2 linked regions of the Schizosaccharomyces pombe genome follow. The protein of the gene in region 1 interacts with the protein of each later gene in a pairwise test. Each region holds a gene or a part of one and is shown on either strand. Other genes may lie near its edges. The genes, in order: hem13 and SPOM_SPAC26H5.09C.

The links.
Region 2: the proteins of hem13 (region 1) and SPOM_SPAC26H5.09C interact in a two-hybrid assay, tested with the Schizosaccharomyces pombe proteins (2 studies listed by BioGRID).

What each region holds. Positions count from the first base shown.
Region 1 is NC_003424.3:964,315-968,145, reverse strand, and holds hem13 (coproporphyrinogen III oxidase), read right to left. Parts: upstream 2,011-3,831; 5' UTR 1,717-2,010; coding exon 778-1,716; 3' UTR 555-777; downstream 1-554. Other genes in the region: SPOM_SPAC222.17 (uncharacterized protein), read left to right, coding at 1-116, 188-281; two-component GAP Byr4, read left to right, coding at 3,712-3,831.
Region 2 is NC_003424.3:4,137,195-4,141,125, reverse strand, and holds SPOM_SPAC26H5.09C (gfo/idh/mocA family oxidoreductase), read left to right. Parts: upstream 1-2,034; 5' UTR 2,035-2,146; exon of another isoform or gene 2,147-2,407; 5' UTR 2,408-2,443; coding exon 2,444-3,553; 3' UTR 3,554-3,860; downstream 3,861-3,931.

The sequences.
Region 1 (3,831 bases):
GAAAGTCTAAACAATCAAACTGAACGAGTTTGCCAACAAACGGAGTCAGGGGATATCTCCTGCATTGAATTGGCTGCAGCGGAGACAAAATTGTTTGCTACTATGCAATCTTTAGGGTACGTAAGATGGGAGATTGTTAGATTATTATCCTATATACACTTACTGTGAGTTTGATATTAACCAACAGGTTCATTTGCACTTTATCAGCAGATCCCAATCGGCCCACTGTATTTGAGTGTAAAAGGGAATTAGATACAAATGAAAGAAAAGAGCGACTGTAAAATTTGTACCGATGCTAACGTTTTATGACTTGTCTATCTCAATCCGTTGGGGATCGACGTCGTTTTATCATAAAGACAAGACACACACATTTTACCTTCATCTTCTTTTTTTTTATTCGTATTATTTTAAAGAAAAATACATTGAAATTAAGTTAATGAAAGTGCAGATCAGTTGAAATTTATATTGTGAAATTAGATCTCAAGCCAAATAGGTACTGTACTTTACTTTAAAACTCTTTATAAAACACTACTCAATAAAAGATACGGATTTTTAAAGGGTAAAATATTGTTTCATTAGCTTAGAAAAGGGATTCAAAATCGCAAATTCAAACAGTTAAGAATTCCAAATAATGAAGAGCAAAAAAGGCATGATAGAAAATTTAACATGAGTTAGTGTAACATGGCATAGTTTAAAAACAAACGAAAGAATAAAGCTATTACCAAAAATTGTGATGTTCATTAAATGCTGAAGTAAAAGTCATTTTTGTGAATCTTTCTAGCACCATTCAATAGGGGTATGCGTTACTTTAAGGAGAGCCTTGTGACGCTCTTGTTTAGGCTCATACTTGTAACGCCAGGAAGCATGTAATGGAAGGGTCATAAGAATAGATTCAACACGGGGTTCAGGAGCTTGAAGACCAAACCAAGTACCTCTGTCATACATAACGTTAAACTCGGCATAGTATCCACGACGAATGAGTTGGAATTCCTTATCATCTTCAGTGAATTCCATGTTCTTTCTCTTTTCCATAATAGGGACATAGGCAGGAAGGAAGGTATGGGCACAATCCTTGACGAAAGCAAATAACTCTTGAGGATCTTTCTCAGAAAGATCATCAAAGAAAATACCGCCAATGCCACGAGTCTCCTTTCTGTGCTTGATGAGGAAGTATTCATCAGCCCATTTCTTGAAGCGAGGATAGAAAGTGGGGTCATGGCGATCGCAAGCTTCTTTATGCAATTTGTGGAAATGCTTGCCATCTTCTTCAAAGAGAATGCTAGGAGTCAAATCGGCTCCACCACCAAACCACCAAATCTTCTTACCATCACTGTTTACAAGTTCAAAGTAACGATAGTTCAAGTGAGTAGTAGGGGCCATGGGGTTGCGAGGGTGAATAACCATACTGATACCAGCAGCAAAGAATGGAAGCTCTTTGGCAGTACGATCAATACCTTCATGATTAGCACGCATTCTTTGGACAGCGTCTTGATTCAATTTTCCTTGAACAATACTTGTGTTGACACCACCCTTTTCAAAAACGTTGCCATCTTGAATAACACAACTGATACCATAACCACCTTCTCCCTTGGTCCACTTGTCTTGGAAGAATTTTTGTCCATCGACAGCTTCGAGACCAGCAACAATTTCTTGCTGAACATCGAGAATAAGCTTCTCCATCTGCTTGCCAATAGGCTCAACGGTAATGTCAGACATCTTTTTATTTACTTTACGGATTTGCTCAAAATGTCCAAAAAAAAAAGTAACCAAAATGGTATTTAAGATATGATACAACCGATTGGATGAATTGGTATTAACACAAGTGAAGAATCAAAACACTGTTCAACTTGCGAATTAAATTTACAACTTGGTTGTTTTGTTTTCACAAAAACACTGTGCCAGCAGCGAATGGGATTAGGGGGATTTATATCAAAAAATAGACTAAATTCAGATATTTAAAAATCGAACGATTTCTGGACAGTCACGACCGTAATGGCTCGTTTTTCTCGTAAGGTTAAGAACACAATCCGGATTCCACGATCTGAGTGTTTCGTTACTGCACCTTGTAGTGCGATATATAGATTCCTTCGATGGAAAACAATTATTAGTTTTATATGAATTTGATTAGGATGATGTTAAACATCCTTTTCTTTGACTTATTATTAGACTATCTGAAAAATGGAGTTACTTCTCGTCTATGAGAAATGTTTGTAAGTTGCTTCGCTACTAGCAAGCAATAATGTTTTTAACTGCTTGGTTTACAGAAAAGCACAAGAGTATAAGACAGATGCCATGCTTACTTTTTCAACTTGTTCGATTTACCATTTCTTAAGTACAAACATTAATAAGATCATCAACCTATATTTTTTATGAACTTTACATGAATAATTACATGATTAAATCACTGAAATTATATGAAACTATAGACAGAATTGATGCTAAAAATAATTTAGGAAAAATATGAATAGCGCGATCGCATAGGGGTAAAAACATGATTATGTTTCATACTTGGATTTACTAATGAAGAACGGTTTCTCATACCTATGAATTGAAGAGTTAATTTGTTCAACTTTACCATTGTTGATTTCAATAACTTTTTAGATGTAAAAAAATAAACTAAAATAAAACAAAGACGTTTCTTTTGTTATAAACTAATAGATTTACTTTTTAACCTATAGTTTAATCGTTTTTTTTTTTTTTTTTTTTTGTAATTTATCTAAACTCGTATATGAAAATAGTATGTATTTTAGAAATTATACGAAGAATCTAATAAAAAAAGATTCCTTAAAATGTATTTCATATATACTTGAACGAATATGTAGATTCCATAAACAGAATTAAATTGTAAATGGGCATAAATTTCAGAGAAAGCAATTGTTTATAATAATTTAAACGTTCAAAGAAAAATATATATATTTTCGTGGAGGAAAATAAAATTCTAAGACGAATGAATTTGCTAATACGAGTGACGATTAAACATACTATTTATTGCTTCACCTACTAACCTTCGTTGTAATTTATCTACTTTTTAAAAAACATTAACTCGTAGTTGCATGCTAATTAGATTACCTAGATTTTTTTAAGGTGAGGTGCAGCTATGCATTTTGGCAATCACATATGGTTAAGTATTTTACTATGATTAATCTAGCAAAAATAAATATGACTGAAAGATACCAAAAAAAACTATTTTTTTTTTAGGTTTACACAAGCAAATAGTAGATGCTTTATTTTTCACCTTATTAAAAATTGATTTCTCGTAAAGTACTGAAACCAAAGTACGTAAATTGATCAAGTTGGTGTTTACACTTATACCTCTAGCTCAACCTCCGTCTCTTTCAACAATATACCGCTAACCCAGATTCCTTGATTTTGTCATTGAAATAAGTTAAATTCTTTTTTTTGCTTTCTATACAAAACAAAATTTCATTGTATCTCTGAAAGCATCATCATAATCATATTCCTGAAGTCCTTTTGAATTGCTGTTCATAACTTATTACTTCTCGAAGCTGGGTTTGAAAGCGTAAATATTTACAGTGGTTACTTCTTTGCAAAATTAGTGACCATCCTTTTTCTCTCTCACTTTCTTTTTCTTTGAAAATCAAATTTAGGGTTTTCAGTTTTGGGTGAATACGGTTAGTAATCATTCTATGCGTTTTGCATCCAATTTCTTTTCTTAGCAAAGCCGTTTTAGTATACGTTTATTTTGATTGAATGACTGAAGTTGAATGCTGGGACGATGATCCTGATTTTGCTTCCGACGTCGATAATGCTAGCCTATTTACTCAATCCATAGCTACCACTAGTGCTAGTACGAGTGTGGATGATGGGTTC
Region 2 (3,931 bases), 3.2 Mb from region 1:
AAGTATGATTGAAGAGAGTGATATTTCGTCAATGTACTTTTGCGCCGCGTAACACTAAGAAAAGTATAGATTGTGTGTAATGTTCTTAAGAAAGTCTATTCCGTCATGGAAAAGGAAATAGCGTTGTACGCAATAAACTTATTTGGTTCGCTTACGTAAATGAGCGTGGGACAAACAGCAAATTTGGTGGGGAAAATCATTGCAACGTAGGGAATTAAATTGAAATAACTGTCAGCAATATTACACTACGCTATGATACACTACGCTGCGTATCACTATATGCCATATGTTGGAATACTAGCTAAGATCCGTTTATTGATAATCACGGGTAACTATCCGTCTATATACATAGATACCCGTTGATAACAACTATTTAGAAATATTATAAATAGCGTTACAACTGAATCTCGTTCCTCAGTTCAGTTATGAGCTATATTAGTGATAGGTAACATTATAACCCAGTTAATACAATACCTATACTCAGTTGCTACTTATACAACCTGTGTATTGTAATATAATAGATCACAAGGAAAACTCACCGCAGTTCTACGTATCCTTAAATCAGATACCAAACTGCGTAGCTTACAATAACCAATTTTTCAAAACAGTGCTTAATAAAAGAAATACCGGAATACGCAAGGGATCGTACATTGAATCCGTTAGAAACACTAAGAGAGAAGAAGTAGAATAAAAAAGGTCAAGTCAACAGGAGAGTATAATGGATTGCATGGATGGATCGTAAGAAGGAAGATGGTGCGAAAAAAGTGTAAGAATCATAATAATCATAAGAATAATAACAATAATGAAAGGCAATAGAACTTGATAACAATGATCATTACTTAAAAAATTTGAAAGAGAAGACAAAATAAAATAAATAAAAAATGCGACAAGCTCTAGTCCTTCTTACCAATCTAAACCGATGGAAATGACGGTGTGAGACATGGAACCATACTAAAAATACGAGATAACCTTATCAACATATCTTAGGCCGAAATGGGAACAAAGAATGTAATCAAAAGGTAAAAAAAAAAAAAATTGGGATGGCGGTGGAAAGGCGAGGAAAAAAAGAAACAATAAGAGTGTGCAGAGTAAGAGAGGAAAATATTTAAAAAAAAAAAAAAAAACTTAAGTAGGTAGGAAATCAAATGAAAAAATGAATTGATTATAAATAAAAATAAAGAAAAGCTTGAAGAAAGAAAAATAATAAAAATAAATAAAAATAAAGCGATGCGCTTTCTCCCTATCCCCACAAAGTTCTTCTTAATTAATGTGCAAGGGATTTTAGTGCATCTAGTCTGACAGCGATCGCGCGGAAATGGAAGCCAGACCAAACCAAACAAACCCATAGTATTTTCTTATAGAGGCAAAAGCAATAAGAACGGCAGGCACATAATGGAAGTGGCCGGTTCTAGAAACAAGTGATTGGGAAGCAGACAAAAGCGAGCAAAAGTCAAGCCGGAGAGAGATGAGGGAAAGAGATGGCATGGATTCAAACGCTAGAAAACTTTTTAATTTAAAACATTCATCCAAACGTGGTTCAACAAATTTATCCAAGCGTAATGAGATTGAAGAAGGATTTCCAAGTAATATCAACATTCATATTATCATTTAGTCCCAGCAAGTTAAATTTGTTTACAATTTCCCTTGACATACAAGCACATACTCTCTCTCTCTCTCCATCGGCTACTAGCATAGCACAGTATAGCATACACAACCTAATATCACATAGTAGTACATAGCACAACACAACATACTAAAGCATAGTGTCCTTTAGTTCCCTTTTACGTGCTGAAACGTTCCCCCTATCTGCATGGTAAACTCATCCTGCTTATACTAATAAACGTCATTCATTACATAGCTGCATCTTAGCTCAAGTTGCACCTTTCTTCGTGGTACCCGATGGGCCCCGCTTTAACACACGTTGTACGAGGTTGAAACAACGAGATGGAAAAAGGTTGTGTGTTGATTGCTTACGTGGGCGAATGGCGGTGTAGACTATTTAATCGATAACGGGCGCGGGTCGCATCGAATTTGCAAAGAACCAACTAGCTAGGTTGACATTAGAATCCATTGTGGTCCATAGGAAACAAGCTTAACAAGCGGGCCGACTGTATTTACATTATATTTTATTCATTTTTCAAGCAAGGTATGTAGTAAGCTGGCGAGTACAAGTGCAAGTGCAAGCGCGGGTGCGATTGCGATTGCGGAATAGAGATGGTTCAGGAAATACACATCATGATTGAGTTGAGTTGCAATGCGTTACTTGACATCGCATGGAGCGCTTGTGATGCCTTAATATTGTGCGCGCGCTCTTTCTATCCACCTTTGGTTCCTCTTCTACCTTGCCCTTGCCCTTGCCCTTCCCTGTGGCTGTCTTGTCGCATCTTTACTAACATTCCTCTTGTAGAAACATTACTTTTGATTCCCCTCCCTACTACTCTCAATGGCGCCTATTAAAACTGCCGTTCTCGGTACTGGCATGTCTGCCTTTATCTTCCACTATCCCTTCTTAAAGGCGCTACCCAACCATTTCGAGGTTTATGCTGCTTGGGAGCGCCGTGCTACCAGCACCGAATCGAAAGCCCGCGCTGCCTTTCCAAACGTAAAGGTGTACACCAAACTCGACGAGCTCTTGGCTGACTCCAACATCGAATTAGTCGTCATTTCACTCCCTCCCAACGTCCACTACGAGGTCGTTTCTCAAGCGCTCAATGCCGGTAAGCATGTGTTGTGTGAAAAACCTTTCACTCCCACCTACGGCGAGGCCAAGGAGCTGTTCGATCTCGCCAAGTCCAAAAACCTCATGTTGACCGTGTATCAAAATCGTCGTTTCGATGGTGATTTCTTGACGGCAAAGGAATGCATCGAAAATGGTCGTTTGGGCGAAGTTGTGCAATTCGAGTCGCATATCGATCGCTTTCGCCTTTTCCGTAAAGGTAATTGGAAGGATGTTCCTAATCCCGGCTGTGGTTTGGTGTATGACTTGGGCTCTCATTTGATCGATCAGGCCATCACCTTGTTTGGCACTCCCCATTCCGTAACGGCAAAGCTCGAATCACAACGTCAGATCCCACCTTTGGAGGTGGAGGATTGCTTCCGCATCGTTCTCCACTATCTGCCCCAAGAAGGAAGACTTCCTCTTGACGTTATTGTGTGCTCCTCCAGCATTTCTTGTGGTTTGGACATGCGTTATATTATCAAGGGTACGCGCGGTAGCTTTTTGAAGTTTGGCATTGATCCCCAAGAGTCCCAATTGAACGAAGGAATGTCTCCCATGGATCCAGGTTATGGTGTCGATTCCTCCCATCATTATGCAACCCTTTGGACCCTACCTCCCGACATCGATGTCAGACACCCCCCAAAACCTACGAAGAGCACTTTAATGACCATTGCCGGTGATTATCGTCGATTCTATTTGGAGGTGCATGAAGCCTTGGTCACGAAGACCTTTGAAACTTCGGTGAAGCCTCATCAAGTTTTGTTGGTAGAGAAGATCATTGAGGCTGCTTACAAGAGTTCCCAATCCTCTACTTCCATCCCATTGTCCGAGTAGGTCTCATGGTTTTGAACCTGCGCGTCTTTCCAAATTCTTCTTTTTTTCTTCCTTCCAGACAGTTTATGTTTTTACGTTTTCTATGACTTTTCAGTAAGCATTGTTTTTGTTGTTTTATGTTTGGTACTGTAACCTTCGACATACTATATCTGATGACGAACCGATGCAAACAGATAGAACTGGTAATTAACCACACAAGTAAGTATATAATTTCTATCTGCGCATGTAAATATGCAAGCTATATACATACGTCTATCTATATCTTAGTATACCTATAAATATAAATATATATTATGTTTTCATCAGCAACAGATTTGGGATGGTATGTATATATGCGCGTATAATAAATAGGGATTTTGTATAGGCAGGTAGGAATAG